3 linked regions of the Daphnia pulex genome follow. The protein of the gene in region 1 purifies or fractionates together with the protein of each later gene. This does not show direct contact. Links are inferred from orthologs where the notes say so. Each region holds a gene or a part of one and is shown in the gene's direction. Other genes may lie near its edges. The genes, in order: cell growth-regulating nucleolar protein-like, GTP-binding protein 4-like and nucleolar GTP-binding protein 2-like.

Evidence for each region.
Region 2: the proteins of cell growth-regulating nucleolar protein-like (region 1) and GTP-binding protein 4-like purify together in Homo sapiens (co-immunoprecipitation; 3 studies listed by BioGRID and IntAct, with this or other methods). This does not show direct contact. The link is inferred for Daphnia pulex from reciprocal best matches to the Homo sapiens genes LYAR and GTPBP4.
Region 3: the proteins of cell growth-regulating nucleolar protein-like (region 1) and nucleolar GTP-binding protein 2-like purify together in Homo sapiens (affinity purification with mass spectrometry; 3 studies listed by BioGRID and IntAct, with this or other methods). This does not show direct contact. The link is inferred for Daphnia pulex from reciprocal best matches to the Homo sapiens genes LYAR and GNL2.

Annotation. Positions count from the first base shown.
Region 1 is NC_060020.1:1,869,579-1,875,632, reverse strand, and holds cell growth-regulating nucleolar protein-like, read left to right. Parts: upstream 1-2,726; 5' UTR 2,727-2,823; coding exon 2,824-2,945; intron 2,946-3,022; coding exon 3,023-3,146; intron 3,147-3,205; coding exon 3,206-3,313; intron 3,314-3,373; coding exon 3,374-3,422; intron 3,423-3,490; coding exon 3,491-3,993; 3' UTR 3,994-4,892; intron 4,893-4,950; 3' UTR 4,951-5,199; intron 5,200-5,273; 3' UTR 5,274-5,628; downstream 5,629-6,054. Other genes in the region: mini-chromosome maintenance complex-binding protein-like, read left to right, coding at 174-231, 297-565, 628-720, 803-1,250, 1,311-1,434, 1,669-1,949, 2,020-2,537. UniProt on the Homo sapiens protein: Plays a role in the maintenance of the appropriate processing of 47S/45S pre-rRNA to 32S/30S pre-rRNAs and their subsequent processing to produce 18S and 28S rRNAs. Also acts at the level of transcription regulation.
Region 2 is NC_060026.1:14,945,209-14,951,188, reverse strand, and holds GTP-binding protein 4-like, read left to right. Parts: upstream 1-2,541; 5' UTR 2,542-2,683; coding exon 2,684-2,734; intron 2,735-2,800; coding exon 2,801-4,651; 3' UTR 4,652-5,004; downstream 5,005-5,980. Other genes in the region: uncharacterized protein LOC124204377, read left to right, coding at 63-327, 393-517; uncharacterized protein LOC124204378, read right to left, coding at 904-1,388, 1,481-1,760, 1,830-2,033; zinc finger protein 271-like, read right to left, coding at 5,434-5,579, 5,677-5,827. UniProt on the Homo sapiens protein: Involved in the biogenesis of the 60S ribosomal subunit. Acts as a TP53 repressor, preventing TP53 stabilization and cell cycle arrest.
Region 3 is NC_060028.1:1,710,768-1,716,577, reverse strand, and holds nucleolar GTP-binding protein 2-like, read left to right. Parts: upstream 1-2,027; 5' UTR 2,028-2,178; intron 2,179-2,246; 5' UTR 2,247-2,270; coding exon 2,271-2,347; intron 2,348-2,403; coding exon 2,404-2,617; intron 2,618-2,692; coding exon 2,693-3,094; intron 3,095-3,156; coding exon 3,157-3,258; intron 3,259-3,319; coding exon 3,320-3,688; intron 3,689-3,752; coding exon 3,753-4,697; 3' UTR 4,698-4,877; downstream 4,878-5,810. Other genes in the region: protein trapped in endoderm-1-like, read left to right, coding at 57-365, 437-650, 722-1,042. UniProt on the Homo sapiens protein: GTPase that associates with pre-60S ribosomal subunits in the nucleolus and is required for their nuclear export and maturation.

The DNA of each region.
Region 1 (6,054 bases):
TCCAGGTGGCGGTAATTTCTTGCGAAGAACTTGATTTAACGTAAGCAGCAGAACACGAGAGAAAAAAAAAATCGACATAAAAGAGCTAGGCGGGAAACACTTGGTCTTGACTCTTGATAGCTAGATCGTTTTTCTATATATATTTTCAGAAGTCGTTGCTTTTAGAAATCATCATGCCTTCTTTGGATAATTGGATTGAAAAACCTCAAGAGATCATTCAGAAAATCTATGGTAAGTTTTTTTTGTTAAATTATACCATAATATTATGGTTATTGAATATTAAGATGTTTCAACAGAGAAACATAGTGGCAGTTCACCTTGGGAAAAAGAAGTAGATGACTACTTCACATCAAGATTGACCAATACAGAAACTTGGACTTCTATTCCATCGCTGAATGAAGTTTTAATTAAAGATCTCAGACATGGACAGTTGGTCAGATTTCGTGGCATGTTTCAAGATCAACTTGGTCCTGAGATGTATGGCTCTGGTGCTCTTGTAAAGAACACAACTTCAGGAAGTCAGAAAAATGTTACTGGAAAATTCAAGGATGAACTTTGTCTTGGAGTAAGAAATATTCAAAGTTGTGACAGTTTGCAGTTTCTGATTACTTAAATTAATGTTATTAGCTTGATGAAGAAGTTGTCAACTGGAACACCACAGAAAGCAGATCTTGCTATTACTGTGTACCAATACCTGGTGAAACTCCTTGGGTCAAACAAATATCCTTTTTCCTATACCAGTTTTTGCTGTCTTGGTCTATTGAAAATATTTCCCCTTTTTTTCCTTAACTAAATGTTATACATCTTCAGAGAGAAAAATAGTTTGTCTGGCCTGCAGCCTTCTAGACCTGTATCGATTGGGAAAAAGCGGCCCTTGGAAGAAGAAGATGACAATGAGATGATGGATCTAGGTGAATCCAATAAGCGGCCTTGTCCTTTAACAAACGCCAACCCATCAATGAGTGTTACCAATGGAAATTTGGACAAAATTCTAAATTTTCCTCTTCCGTCATCCGAATCTGTAGGCTGTATAGTTAAAATATACAGCGAAGATGAGGTGCCACTAAACGATGTTCTAGAAGTGGTAGGTGTCCTTTCCTTTAATACCCCAGGCGTCTCTGATGATGAAGAACGCGAAGATTTCCAGCCTCCTTCGTCGATTGTCCCACGAATTCACTGCATTGGTTCTCAAAAATGGCAACATAATAACCCATACATCATCTCATACAGCGGCCAGAAATGGAATGAAGGTTTGCAATCATTATGAAACTATTTTTTTTTCTTTAAATAAATCATTAATATTTTCCCAGAATCAGCGGCTGTGGTCGAGTTGTCCGCTACCATTCGAGATGAATTGCATGGTTTGTTTACTGAGTTCTTCTTGGGGGACAGTCTCGCTGCTGATTATTTGCTGTGTCATTTGATGTCACGCGTGTAAGTTGACCCTTGTTTTCTTAGATATTTATTATTCTGGCTCAGTATTGCAGCTACCGACTGACTATGCCGTTCATTTGCAATACTATAGCCTAGACTAAAACTTGTCTAATCAGGTGGAGGTCAAACGAAAGAATAATTTGCCTCTGTATGCTTGGACAAACAATCCAAAGATCTTACATTTATTCAACATACCATTACTAGACCGAAAGATTAATTTAGTTCTTGTAACAGGTACAACCGGAAAGATTCGTTAGCGCTTGGCAAATTGTCATTGAATTTAACAAACGTCCCCATAGACAATGCGGTTTTACAAGAAAGCTTTCCTCGTTTTTTGTTCAGTTTGTTAGAACGCTTAGTTACCAAAGCGCATTATTTGCCCATGTCTCTTGAAAATCTGAATACTCTGCGTATGATCCCTAAGAAAGATTACCAGGAAAATCGACTGATTGCCGGTTGTCTTCAACTGAGTTCACAAACGCACTTAGTTCTCGATGAGACAGCAATGACAGAAGGTAGTCCTAGTTTGAAAACAAATTATTATTAGCTTTCATTAATTCTCGGATTGCACTGTATTTTCTTCAGGTCAACTGATAGCAGATGGAGTGCGTAATGTAACTGCGATTGGAAACATATCTTCATGGCAGAAAATCGAATATGATTTCAATTATCATCAAGTGGAATTTCACACCGATATCCCCGTCCTGATACTATCCGAACGTCGCTCTATTGTTGCCACAGATGTAAACCTACCGCTAAGGTTGAACATGTCACGTGGCCGTCCGTTCGCTGAACTCATTGAGAAATTGGAAACTAATGCTGAACTGCTCATGCAAATGAGAAATTATCTCACCGTAACCAGACTTTTGCCTTTCAAACTTAATGACGCCATTCAGGAGGCGGTTCAACAAGATTTTATTCAGAGTCGTGCTCCAGGTCAAGCTAATCCTATGTCCACTGAAGATTTCCACTTGTTGCTTGTTTTGTCTCGGTTGTTGGCCCTTACGTACGGTAAAACGGAGCTGCTGGACGTGTCTCTTTGGCAAAGAGCGAAGGCAATGGAAGCGGAACGTAAATCTCGCTTATCAAATTCCAGTCGTTGATATGCTATTATGTTGTGTATTTTTGTGATTTCTCATTTGTCTTAAAGGATTAAAAAATGGATGGATTTTTCATATGAGTCTAAAGTAAATTGCGCAAAGGCTACAAAAGTTTTATAATAGAAGTTACAGATCCTAAATTTTATCCGGCAACTATGCTCACACTAGCTTAAAGCGTCTGCTGTCTAGTGTCTAGTTTAGTTTCAACTACCTCCTACACGTGTGCGATCATTAGACATTAGTACACGAAGTAATAGTTGACAGTTGGCACCCTACTCCAATATTGGAAATGGTTTTTTTCGTTTGCAATGGATGTGGTACATCTGTAAAAAAAAACCAAGTGGAAAAGCATCAATATCAGTGTAGAAGGTCTCAACATCTGTCATGTGTAGATTGTTCTAAAGATTTTATGTAAGTAAAAACCAAATACAGTTAACAATTAGTGTCACAATTTCATTTAAAATATTTGAATTGCTTCAAAATTCTAGAGGAGAAGAATATAAATCACATATCAAGTGTGTGTCAGAAGAAGAAAAGTATTCAGCCAAAGGTTTTGTTCCTAAACCAAATCAGAACAAAAATGAAAGAAAACAAACTGAATGGGTGGAAATGGTAGATTCTGACTGTTTTTTAGTAAATATTAAAATGTATTATAATTTATGATTTACTAGGTGCAAAATTTGGTTGAGACTGTCGGAAACACAAATGATGAACTGAGCAGTGCTCTTCAACGCATTAGCCAATATGAAAATATCCCAAGGAAAAAGCCCAAGTTTATTGTAAGCAAATGTTGAGTTTTAAACCAATTGCAAAATGTTTATAATGTTATTCCTTTTCAGAATTTTTTGAAAAATGTTTTGGGAAATAGAGTACATCCAAGAACAATTGGTATAAACAAAGAAAAATTATTCATTATTGTTCATGTCAAAACTAATTTAATTTATAAATATATTTAGAACAATTGTGGGATGTAATTTCCAAAGCCCTCGAGGAACTACGTTTAAGCAAAGTGGTACCACCGAATACCAATATCAAAGCGAAAGCATTGGAAGAAACGGGAAAGACCTCTACTGAAGAAAATGGAATCAAAAGGAAGAATGATATTGAAAATGAAATCCCTGCCAATGGAAACAAGAAAAGAAAGAAGGAAGCTGTGCAATCGCAAGAGGATGAAATTCGCAAACAAGCGAACGATACTATAAATTCCGTTGGGGAAGCCGAGCAATCTGCTAAAGTTAAATGGTGTACGATTGGCAAGATTATTCTGCGCGCCCAGGATGACAAGGAATTGTCGTTGAAGAAGTTTCAGAAAAAAATCATTGGAGAATATTTACAGCGAATGGCGGATGCACTAAGTGCTGATGAGTCTGTTGAGGTCTTGTGGTCTAAGTGTCAAAAGAAACTTTCAAAAAATCCAAAATTTAAGATTCACAAAGACAAAATAAAGCTTGTCTCATGATGCAGTTGTCTGTGATGACGAGATCGACTTACCAATTAAACGATCTATTTACTTGTTAGCCAATATCTTTTTTTTCGTGGTAAAGTCCTTATAACATTTAATCTTTCTTATTCTCTTATCTTGTCTAATACTTCGAGATCGATTAACCTCATTGGTTCCCCGAAACCGAAAAGGCCGAAACAAAAAAAAATCTCCTGTAGAAAAAAAAAGGCGGAATGCAAAAACTTATCATAATCTTGTTTTTCTTTCAGCCTCGTCAAATATTTCGAATTTCGAAAGGATGCTGAAATAAAAAAAAAAAGATAAAGGATTTTATACTTGCGTTGCGGTTTTTGGTTTTTGGCATACAGCAAGATAAACTTTCTGTATTGCAATGACTAGGGCAGCTAGGCCGTAGGCCCATTAATTCAACGATCGAAAATTGACGAATAGAAATTTATAAATTTAAGGATTTATCCTACTCTCTTCGTCTCATCACAGATAAAGACCACTTCTCTTTTCTTCTTTATTCCTTCTTTATCCTTCTTTATTCTTTACACCACTTGTCTTCTTTACCTATGGTCTCATCTCATGCTCATGACTGAATCAGTCGCAACCTCTGGTCGCACCGTATTTCTTTATAACTAATTAACTATATTGCATTTACATGAGTTATACCATAGCTCTGTCTCTGATCACTTGCACTGTTTTTTTAAATCATTATTTAATCACTTGGAATCACTTCAAATAAAAATAAAATGATAGGCCTAAATCATTAGTGGTTCGAATATGGCAACTTCGCATACTAGAAAATTCTGATGTAAAGTTGTCTGCTGTTCTTTGGCATTACCACGTGCATTTAACGTCAAGTTTGGTTCTTGTTCTTGGCTTAGTCTTGCAAGTTGTACCGGAGTCCAGAGGTAGGAGATAAAATATTATATTACAATGTGATGTTTCTTACGCTTTTATATTAACTAGTCTTTGAATATACACGTTCTATTGATTCAGAATTCTACATAGTTCATCATGGTTCGTCATGGAAAACACTCACACGCAAAACCTGACCAAAGCGCCGAAGAAAGAAAAGAAGTATGGGTTTCTATGGTTGAAAAATTAATCAAATCAGTTGGTGATTCTGATGAAGATTTGACAATCGCCCTCGAAAAAATTTCTCGAGCGAAAAAAGTTCCAAGGAGGTGGTTAAACTTAAACAAACCAAAGTTTGTGGTAAAAGAAAAGTGCTTTTTATAGTTTGGGAAATAAGTTCCTAACCAAAAGATTTTATGGGTTTTGATTTCTAGAGCTTTTTGAAGTATCTCCGATATAAAATTACTCCAAGTGTTGTTGACCAGCTGTGGGAATTGTTTTCCAAATCCATAGATGTGGAAAGGAAAAAAGAAATCAAGAGAAACACTAAACCAATTAAAACAGGAAATACAGATGGGAAAATTGATGAAAAAGAAGTTACGATTGAAGAAAAAATGGAAAATTGATACAACACAAAATTTCATAAGAAATGATTGAATAATGTCCGAACTCTGAAATGGAATTTTTTTATGATTTGGTATGACAATATCATGCTTGTCTCACGTCTCACGATGCTCTCGTCTGTACTGATGAGATCGGATTATCTAGTAAACGACCAATTTACTTGTATTTGTTTTTTGTTTATTACTCCAATAGATTTTTGCGATTATCCACCTGAATATCTTAGCAAACTCACGGGGTTTCTTGCTCAAAATAGTTGAATTTTACATACAGTTGATTGGCAATTCTAAAATGGGTGTCCCTAAACTATGGACTTGGACAGTCCATTTTGGACTACTAAACTATGGACTTCGATCGAAAACTATGGACTTCACCAGATGGCGCTGCCTGTCCGAAACTATGGACTTAGGGACCTAAAATATGGACTTTAACCTGCAGAAACTATGGACTCCATCAGATGGCGTTATATCCGAAACACTGGACTTGGCGTCTAAAGTATGGACTTTAAATGTATAAACTTGGCTTAGATCCGAATATTTTCGCTTAAGTTTTAAACGGTTCAATGAATATATCTTTTAATTAAATTTAAGCAAA
Region 2 (5,980 bases), on another chromosome or scaffold:
TTTTTTTTTTTTTAAATTTTATATCAACATTTTATTGTTGAGAATTTGATTGTGATAGACAGATTGATACCACTTTATGCTTTACGCCATCGGTGACGCCCAATGGGGGGAAAGCCTTCAGTCTAACCGGGTCGGATGCGTCAGTCGGTACGGCTGGACAAGCCGGTTTCAGCCAAGCCAATCTGGGAGATTGCAACAACGATTTTTTGATCATTCCAAATGGTCACGATCCTGCCCTGCCAAACAGTCCGGCAAATTTACGTGACCGTTACTGCGGCGAGAGACTGAATGTTTTGCCCAAGAGCAACATGTCGACGACTGTCTGCAGTAAGAACAACTGGAATACTACTAATTGTGAACTGATTATTTTAAATGTTTTGGTTATATTTCAGCCAAGAGTAAGCCGTACAGAATCATCTACAACACCAACAGCGACGAGACAGTAACCGACACGCGGGATGCAGCCAATGTTGGAAATATTGGATTTTCTCTGAGATATTACCAAATCAAATTATAAACTACTAACAATTGAATGTGGCTACTTCAGGAAGTTTGTTAATCATCCCTTTAAATTATTTCCCATTTTTATCTGACCACATACTGTTGTATTTACCCAAAATTGCCTGAAATAAAAAATAAAACAGTTAAGAATGTCACCAGGAAAACGTCATGGAAATAAGTCTGTGGCTCAATTCATATGGGATTACGTAATAAGAAGCATGCGTATGGGGTAGGGAAAATCTGTAATTAGGTTGCGCCTATTATTTTGCAGTTGGTAAACAAATAATCAATTTAATACGGACTTGAAACAAAAATCTGGATGCAAAGTAAGCATTCTTATTCGTAAATTCATATTCGGCAATTGATTTGCTGACGTTAAAATGAATTTAAAAACGCGCGAATTTAAACAGACGCGGCAATTTCCTCCTCCAACAGGAAACCGGTGAAAAAGGTGCAGAGATAACCGTCGCCATTCAAATTAGTTCCTGGATCAATGTTGATAATCCTTAACAAGACTTGTTCACCTGATTTCAAGTTCACCGTCGCCTGAAGAGTTAGTAAACTCCTATGATAAGCGTTGGTGTTGGTTTCTGTAACTGCAATCCTCCCGACTTCACTCTGTGTACTTTGAAGCATAACTTGTAACACTACACGATCAGGCGAGGATGAAGCTGGAAACTCCACCTGTCCCGTGAAGGCGAAGAAATAAACTCCCGATCGTGGGGCCGTGAATATTCCTGATGCCCCATCCATAGCATTTCCTACGTTCAACGGTATGTAAGTGTAGTTAATTGGGAGTCCAATTGTGTTAAAACTATAAGATCTCGTAGCGTGGAAATAGACGGGTGCTGATTTGACGCCGTTGTATCCGATCCATTTTTGGAAACCTTTTCCAAATAAAGTAAATCATAATAAAAAATATTAAAAAAATATTGATGATTACAACAAAACATACAGTACGCAGAATAATCAAAATTACCCGCATCGCTTGGGGGTTTAGTGAAATCGCAGTAAACGGATTCCATCGTTGTATTTCCCATAACGGAATAAAATCCGTTCCAGATGTGGCCCATGCTTTTGAGATCTGCACACGAAGATGGCAATCCATTGACAGCCACGGGTGATTGATTATTAATGTTGATCGAAACATCTGAATCTGCCTTCTTTTCTCTCAATAGGACGGATAAAACTTTGTCTTGTTCTTGAACTTTAGTTTTCAATTCGATAACTTGTAGAGCCAATTCGTCTCTACTTTCATTCTAGTGTAAATCAAATTGTATTTAATCTATTGGAGGAAAATAACAAGATGAATCTGTTTAGAAACTTACATTTCGTTCTAATTGGGTCCCCAGTTGCGTCACCTTTTCTTCAAGTTCTCTATTTTTAGACTCTAATAAATCGATTTTCGTTTCGAGTCTCGATTCTAATTCTTTCAATTTGTCTTCTAAGGAATAGGTGGCAGAAGCGGAAGAACAAATCGCGCCGCAACCTAAAATGAATATCAAACTGACACCGACTGAGAAACGAGACATTTTTTACACAAATTTTTAGACTGAGCTATTGCGTTGCACGATTGCGTCGTATTTTATAGGACTCGGTTTCTTATACCTTGTATAAACACTACATCGAGTTTACATTACATTATCTTATTTGAAAAACTCACCCGCTGATTAAAACTGACATTTTAAATTTTGGATCCTGGCTGTAAATTCTGTTGTGCAAATATTTGTTTTGTATTATATACAAGCACGATAAGGAGCGGGGATTCACATGCACTTAAATATCGTGGTTGAGCCCCATCGTGGTATATTTTGTTTCCCGCATAAAAGCTTTTTCTTTCGTTTCTAAATATTCGAGCTGAAATGAAGTAAACGGTAAATACATTTATCCTTATTTTTGTTTTTCTTAATCTTTGAATACATGAATAGTAAGTTTGATGCAAAAGAATAGTAAAAAATTTAAAAAACTCGATTCAAATTCTATGCAGATTATGTTGATAGATGCCGCTAGTGATGCAAAGAGTAAGAGAATAAAAGTCTACCACTAGATGTCCGATTTTCTTGTGTCTTCTTTCTTTTCGTTGCACGTGTGAGCAGTGGGCTGCGCCATTGCTGAATATTTCAGAGAATTTCTCTGAAAAACGTGTAATTTTCAATAGTGCGACACTCTTACCATCAACAAAATGACGTCGCAATACAATTTCAAAAAGATTGTCATCGTTCCGACGGCGAAGGTAAATTAAACGCAGATATTTCATTACTTGTTGGATGGGCCAGCTAACGTTTCGCTAACTTCACAGGATTTTATCGACATCGTCTTGTCGAAAACTCAACGAAAGACGCCAACTGTAGTCCACAAGCAGTACAAGATTTCTCGTATCCGTCAATTCTACATGCGCAAAGTCAAGTTTTCCCAGCAGACCTTTCATGACAAATTGTCCACCATTCTGACCGATTTCCCCAAGCTGGACGATATTCATCCCTTCTATGCTGATTTGATGAATGTTCTCTACGACAAGGATCATTACAAATTAGCTCTTGGTCAGATCAACATTGCCCTGCATTTGATTGACAATGTCTCCAAAGATTATGTCCGTCTTCTCAAGTACGGTGACTCCCTGTACCGCTGCAAGCAGCTCAAGAAGGCAGCCTTGGGTCGCATGGCCACCATCATGAAGAGGCAAGCGCAGAGTCTTCAATATCTGGAGCAGGTCAGGCAGCATCTCTCCCGTCTGCCTTCCATTGACCCAAATACCCGGACACTGCTTATCTGTGGATTCCCCAATGTCGGCAAATCCAGCTTCATCAACAAGATCACTAGGGCAGATGTTGAAGTCCAGCCTTACGCTTTCACGACCAAGTCGCTCTTTGTCGGGCATACTGATCATCGCTACCTGCGTTGGCAGGTGGTGGACACCCCAGGAATTTTGGATCACCCTCTTGAAGATCGTAACACCATTGAAATGCAGGCCATTGCTGCCTTGGCCCATCTGAGAGCTGCTATCCTCTACGTCATGGACATTTCAGAGCAATGTGGTCACACCATCGAACAGCAAGTGGCACTCTTTGAGAGCATCAAGCCTCTCTTTGCCAACAAGCCATTGCTCGTGGTGCTGAACAAGACAGATGTCATCCGTCTGGAGGAGCTGAATCCTGAACAAAAGGCCTTGATTCAAGGTTTCATTAATGACGACATCCCCGTTATGGAAATGTCGACATTCAGCGAAGAAGGAGTGATGAATGTCAAAACGGAAGCCTGCGAACGTTTGCTGTCCCACAGAATCGAGGTGAAGATCAAGAGCAAGAAGGTGGAAGGCATTCTCAACCGACTGCACGTGGCTCTGCCTAAACCTCGCGACGGATGCACACGTCCGGCCTTCGTGCCCGAGAAGGTGATTGAAAAACGTCTGGAGAAGGGACCCAAGATCAAGAAGAAGACGGAACGCGATCTCGAGGTTGAGCTGGAAGATGATTACTCGCTGGATTTGAAAAAGAATTACGACCTTCCGGCCGACTTCAAATACGACGTCATTCCTGAATTCTGGGAAGGCAAGAACATCGCCGACTACATCGACCCTGACATCATGGCCAAGCTGGAGGAGCTGGAGCGCGAGGAAGAGCTGCGGGTTGAATCCGGAGTCTACGAAAAGGAGGAAGAAGAGATGGACGATGAAGAGAAGGAGATCCACCGGTTAGCTGGCAAGATTCGCGAGAAGAAGGCCATCATCGCCATCGAGGGTCGCATCGGTCGCAGCGGAGGTGCCCCCGTGATGCCTCGCGCTGGACGCAAGCGCGAGCGTTCCGTCAGCCGTCTGCGCTCCGAGTTCGAGGAACTCGGCGTCGACATGAGCAACAAGAGTGGCGCTCACTTCTCTCGCACTAAATCGCGCTCGGCCAGCCGTCCGCCCATCAAGAAGGCCCGCGCCGATTCTGCCGGACGCGTCAGCTCGTCGTCTCGCGTCACTCCGCGCGACCAGTCGGGCATCCGCAACGTTGAGCTCAAGGCCAAGGCCAAGAAGATGGGTCACAAAGCTCAGGGCAAGATGAATCAATTCGGTAAGGCTGGTGAAGCCGATCGACACATTGCAGTCAAGATGCCCAGACATCTTTACTCCGGCAAGCGCGGCATTGGTAAAACCGATCGCCGTTAAAAGACAGAGAAATTGTAAGAATTAAAAACAACATCCGAAACGATTACGAAGAAGAGGAATCCAACGAGACTGATGCCCCGGCTCCTGGAGTTTGTTGGAGAGGCCAAGGTTGAATATGACGTCTTATCACATCAAAAGTCCCTGATTGCCTGCTGAGTTCATCAATTCTCAAAAAAAGGTCCTGTGCTTTTTTGTTTTAAATGTGCCACTTCCAGCCCTCTCTCGGTTCATGTGTACTCTTTAATTGTTGTGTTTTTCTTTTCAGCGTGTTTTGTTTATTAATTCGACCGCTGTGGAAAATATTTCAATGAAAGAAAAATAGTACACCGTGTTGGCGTCAGTCTCGATAAAAAGTTTTGAATTTCAATAATTTATTGAGTATTTTACATAAGTTTTTTTTTAAATAACGAAAAGGAAAAACTTGGTGATCCGACGCGCTCTGGGGTCTTGTTTATTTGAAAATGGGCACCAAGCCAAAAAGATTGAAACTTTTGTAAACAACTTGTTGCCTTGGGTTAGAATCGCGCACTCTGTGACGCAAACAAAAGAGAGAGAGAGAGAGACCTGCGTAACCTTCCCTTACATTTTTGCACATATCGCCAAATAAGGGCCAAGTAAACAACAACAACAACATCAAAACAAGTCGAATGGGGTCTCTGACGCTTGGATTTTTTGTTTTGTTTTTGATTTAGTTGTTTGTTTGTCTCACAATTGGGGTGAAAGGCCGGAACTTTTTCTTTCAAGTTGTTGCAGCTTTCTTTTTTTAATCTTTTAAAGAAATTTTAACTGTAGACTTGCGGTTGAGTCGCTTGAGTGGCTACGCGTCGACGGCCCGGATGAGTTCCGGCGTGTCTTCGTTGATGCGTCAACAAGTTGGATGATTGGCTAAAGGTTTTACCGCATTGTATGCATCGGTAAGGCTTTTCACCTGTCGGATAATTAAAGATTACACCAATTTTTTGTCAAGTCATCGCGGTGAATTAAATGAATAAGGAAGATGGGCGAAAAATAATTTTTGTAAGAACCTGTGTGAACGAAGATGTGTTTTTTGAGATCAGAATTTTGATAGAATTTCTTGGAACAGAAATGGCAGCTGAAGGGGCGGACTCCGGAATGAATTAGGCGATGCGTCGCCAGCGTGCTGGAGCGCCGGAATTGTTTGCCGCATTGAGTGCACTAAATTCAAACAAATCAAAATTATTCTAGTCAGTCGTAGCTCATTAATCTAATTGACAAATAGATTTTTTTTTTTGGCTATCAAGTCAAGGCCGTTTGACAGACGGAACGAACAGATTTGGCTTCTAGTTTCATCAAATGGCCGGAAACTGG
Region 3 (5,810 bases), on another chromosome or scaffold:
TGGTCTATTTCTGATCCCAGGGGATTTAATTTTGATTTAATTTGCAAAATTCCCAGGTATATTCTGATAGCTTCGCCGTCTTGGTACGACAAGATCTACCGGCGCCCGCTGATCGTCTTGATGATCCTCGGCTCGTGGCTCTTCAGCTTCCTGATGATGACGCCACCGCTGCTGGGCATCTGGGGCGACCTGGGCCTCAATCCCGCCACTTTCTCCTGCACCATCCTGCCGGGGGAGAATGGCAAGTCGCCGAAAAAGTTCTTTTTCGCTTTCGGCTTTCTCATCCCCTGTCTGACCATCATCGTCTCCTACACGTGCATCTTCGTCAAAGTCAAACAGTCCAGACGCAACGTCATGGCCCACAGGTAAATCAATAAATTGCCCATTTAAATTTTGGCGGGAAATTAAAAAAAAATGGGTTTCATTTGAATTTCAGCCCCGGAACGAGTGGTGGCAACAACAGAGCGGAAGAGCATCAGGCCAATGTTCCGGTGATGAAATCGGTGAATAAAAAGCCGGGCAAGAAGAGCACGTCGGAGAAGCACCAGAGACGGGATGACCTGCGACTCACCCGTATGATGCTTATCATCTTTTGCTGCTTCCTCCTCTGCTTCCTGCCGCTCATGGTGGTCAACGTGGCCGACGACGAGGTTCGTGTGAACAAAAATTATCATTGTGATTGGGATGATTTGATTTGATTTTTAATTTCTTAATTCCATAGAAAAAGACAAAAGTGCCAGTCATTCACGTGATGGCCTCCATCCTGGCCTGGGCGTCCAGTGTCATCAACCCGTTCATCTACGCGTTTTCCAACCGGCAGTACCGATCGGCCTACCGCCAGCTCCTCTGCGGATCTTCGCGCTCGGCCCGGCTGACCTCGCAGACTCAAACGTCGCGCTCTTCCGGCCGCACTTTCCTCACCGACATGCTCCATTACACGGCTCACGCCGAAAAGGTCAAAGTCATCCGATCCACCACCAACACGACGACCAACAATGCCAACCACAAAGAAGATGGCGATCAGCAGCTGGCCAGGGCTTGAAATGAACGAATAAAATGCGCAATCTAGACATTTCCGCCATTTTAAAAATTAATTAAATTGGCCAGGGAAAATCACAAAATTTGAACCCAGTGTACATATGCGTTGTTCTCTCTTTCATTTGTTTAGATGTAGAACAGAATGGGAATTTTTTCTTTTTTAAAATATTTCTGCGCGATTTTTTGCTATCGACTTTTGTTTGTTTTTTAAATCCAATGCGGAAATTTTTGAATTTTTTTTTTGTTTGGTGGGAAAAATTGCCGAAATGTCATTGAGATGTCGCATGAAATTATTACCATGTCTTTTATACTACATGTATTCTCCTGGCAGAGAAAGAAGCCGCCGACGGGCGAGAGAACTTCATTTACATTTTTAGCACATCATATCGAAAAGCAGACAACAAAAAGAAAAGAAAAAAAGAAATATGAAAGATAGAAAAATTTTCAAAAAAGACAAGTTTGTGTGTGTGTGTTTTTTTTTAAATATTTCTTGTGTCTTGTACGCACGGTTCCTCGTAAATGATGTTGTATACACATTTCATGTAACTTCACGACTCGGAAATTTTTAAATTTCTTTTATAACTGTGTGTGTTCGTATACAAGTGCATGTATACTATATTGGTTGATTTTTTTTTAAAGAAAGAAGGAGAAAAATATTATCGAACCCGCCTATATAATCCTTATAGGGATGGAGAGGATTCAAAGTGGTTTTTTTTGTGTGTTGGTTGGTCGGTCAATGACACGCAGAGTTAAAAAAAAAAGAAGAGGATGTGATTTGTGTTCCGATAAGTAATAAGCTGTTACCAAAGGGATAGGCTGAGCTAGTCAAACAGGTTTTTTCTTTAGTCATTCTGCCACTGGGCATTTTACGTCGATAGGCGACATGGAATGATAATTTTTTTTTTTTACTATGTGAATTTTTTACCGCTAGATGGCAGCACGTTTTAACTTTGGAATTTGTTCCTAGATGTCAGCTCAAATAGCAGACGTTTTCTTGAGAGACTTTTCACGACAACACGTGTGAAAAGAAGTACGAAAAGTTGTACGCTTTAAAGTTTATGACAAATTTTGTTTTTTTATAAAAGTAGTTTGCATTTGATCTGTTTACGTTACAGATATTGAAGCTACTGATTCTGAGTGGTAGGTCGTATATTTATTTTCAGTATTTTCGTGTTTTGAATAGCAATGTTTTCAAATGTTAAAAACAGGTTTAAGCATCGTACTTCCTCAAAATGGCTAGGACTGTCCGTAAGACCGATCCGGTCAAAAAGGCCGGACGAAAAGATGGATTTAACCGATCCGGACACAGGTTTGTTATTTGTCACTAATATACTAAATGTTTGCTAATAAAATCTTCTGATGCAGTATGAACCCAGATCGAAAAATTTCTGGTCTGAGGGGAGTGAGCAAGGCAAGAGATAAGGCCACAATCAAACGATTGCAGATGTACCGTAACTTTAAGGCCAAGCGTGATGAATCAGGCAAAGTCATCCGCCCAGCACCTTTTCAATCCAAATTTGCATCTGGTACTGTTGCACGTGTGGAACCTAACCGGCGCTGGTTTGGAAATGTCAGAGTGGTATGTGATCGTAATTACTACTTCACCATTTCTTTGATAGTGATCAAATATCTTAATCTACGTGACTATATTTAGGTTGGCCAATCAGCACTCCAGAAATTCCAAGAAGAACTTGGACAGGCCATCAAGGATCCCTATCAAGTAGTAATGCGTCAGACAAAGCTGCCCATCACTCTGCTGAAGGAATCCTCTAAATTCGCAAGAGTTCACTTGCTGGAAACTGAAAGCTTTGAAAACACTTTTGGCCCCAAGAAACAGCGAAAGCGGCCGAGCCTTGCCACCGGTGACTTGGACAGCTACGTATCCTCAGCCCAAAAATTCGGTGACGGTTACGAAATCGAAAAGGACGGAGCTTTGGTTCGTGATCTGCCAGACGATCGCGAACTGACTCGAGAGTGGATCATGAAGGCTGGCCTCAGCAAACGAATCTGGGGAGAATTGTACAAAGTGATTGACTGCTCGGACGTCATTATCCAGGTATTGAATTATACCAAATCATTTATTTGAGTTCAATTGTACTAAATGTTTAATTTGAAAAGGTTTTGGACGCCCGTGATCCTTTGGGAACTCGATGCAAGCAAGTCGAAGCTTATATCCGTAAAGAAAAAAGCCACAAGCAATTGTTTTTCGTGCTCAACAAGGTAAGCAAAGTCATTCCCAAGATAATTTAGACCCCTGGCCTCATTCCATGCTTCTTTCTAGGTGGATTTGGTACCAACTTGGATTACCCAACGTTGGGTCAAGACGCTCAGCTCCGAGTACCCCACCATGGCCTTCCGTTCTTCGATGACCCATCCCTTTGGTAAAGGTTCGTTGATCAATTTGCTGCGCCAGTTCGGCAAGCTTCACAGCGACAAGAAACAAATCAGCGTGGGTTTCATCGGCTACCCGAATGTTGGAAAATCGTCCGTCATCAATACCCTGCGCAGCAAGAAAGTCTGCAAGGTGGCGCCCATCGCCGGTGAGACCAAAGTCTGGCAGTACATCACGCTGATGCGTCGAATCTTCCTCATCGACTGCCCGGGAGTTGTATTTCCCACCGGAGAGACGGACGAGGAAAAAGTGTTGAAGGTAAACCGATCGCAATTTGATTTACCTGATTGCAAATTCTAATACGATTGCTCTATTCTTTCAGGGTGTCGTTCAAGTGGAAAAGCTGAAAACGCCCGAAGACTTTATTCCAGCTGTGCTGGAACGGGTGAAGAAAGAGTATTTGAGCCGCGTCTACAGGTTGAACGACTGGAAAGATGCCACCGACTTTCTCGACCAGATGGCCCGCCGAACGGGCAGGCTGCTAAAGGGTGGAGAACCGGACAACAACGCCGTGGCCCGAATGGTCTTGAACGATTGGCAGCGAGGCAAATTGCCTTTCTTCGTCGCCCCTGTCAATCCGGATGCGGCCAAAGTGGAGGAGAAAACCGAAGGAGATGCCACAGCCGCCGCTGTTGAAGAGTCGGGAGAGGAGACTGAAAAGGACAAGAAGAAATTCGAGCCCAGATTGGCCCAGGATTTCAGTAAAATTCGGGTGGATCTGAAATACGAAGGTGACGACGTCCAGCCTTTGGAGGCCCAGCCGGACTTCATGGACGACCCTTCGGCCGACGAAGCGGAAGACGATGAAGACGCAGAGGAGAATGTGGCCACCGACAAAGCGACGGAAGAGTCGAAATCGGCTGATGTGTCCAAAGGGGAAGACCACGAAGGTCTCGACGACGAGGAAGACGATTACGAGGATGAGATGGACGAAGAAGAAGAGGAAGATAGCGACGTGGATGCGGCGGCCAAGAAGAAACAAGCCAAGACCCTGAAACTCAAAGCGAGAACCATCACCAAGAGCGGGGCCTTTTCCGTGACGCCCACGTCGCGATCGACCAAGAAAGGAGGCGGCGGTGACGAGGACGACCGACCGGAAAACCCGCGCTGGAAGCTGACTTCGAGAGAGAGGAGAAAGATCGATCGCGATCAGAAAAAGAAGAAGATCGGCACTCACTTTTACGAAGTGGTCAACGTCAAAAACAAGTCGAAGAAGAAGGGTTTCTTGGAGATGGCCAAGGCCTTTAGGGGTCACTGTAAGAAGTAGTGTGGGAGTTGCTTTTGTGATTGTCTAATCTTCTTTATGAGCTGATTATAACGATTGATTGATTCTAATTGCCACCACGGGCCGATACACACATTCTCGATTCTTCTCTTTCTCGCCGATTGATTCAGTTATTTTGAACATCTTTTATGTAAGTGGGGTCTGAAATAAAACGATGAAAATAGATGGGTATTTATTCGTAAACTTATTTTTCCAAGTTGAAATTATCGTGTTATGCGTTTCTTTTTTTAAAAACTTGTTTTATTAGCAGGTGTGGTTTAAACGAGGCTTTCTTTGATCAAATTTTAAAAGGAGAAACTATTATACTAAGTTCGTTGGAAGGCTAATTTCCTGAACCAGACCACAAAACAAATAGCATTTTGAGTTTTCTGGATAGATGTTGTATAAGCCTCGATAGCGCAGTAGGCAGCGCGCGAGTCTCATAATCTCGAGGTCGTGAGTTCGAACCTCACTCGGGGCAGTATTTTACGACCATTGTATCGTCAAAGTTGGATTCTGTTTTCATCTCGGGAGATTCTGTTACGTATATGCAACCCATATCTTCTTCTTCTCGAGGCTATTACTCAACATGAATATCCTCTTTGTGTGCTGATGGCTGATGGTATAAGTGAAATGATTTTTTCTTTCTATAAAACAGGAATAAATAACCCACCTACGTCTCATTCTAGACATGTACGTAAGCCTAAATATTGCTGGCTGCCTGATAACACAAAAATGCCTCGATTTTTTTTTTGCAGTATAGATAACATTGAGAATGAAAATTTATAATCTCCTATTAAGGATGACGGGGATTTTTCGTAAACTGAAGTAACACAGCAAATGTATTGACAGGAAAAGGAAAAAAGAATGACAGAAAATTTGTTGTAAACTGATTAATTCACCAATAATAATAAAGTAGGGCACAATTTCCCCTTGAATTGATTTGTCATTCCAAACTATCAAAATAATAAAATCAGGTTAGATTTTCACGCAATTGTGTCCTATAGGCCAGCTATATTCTCGTATTTATGCAGTCATTCCCCAAGCGAATTAATTCCCCAATTGAATTGACAAATAAGTATGCCTTTCAAATGTGTTTATTGGGCTGACTAAATT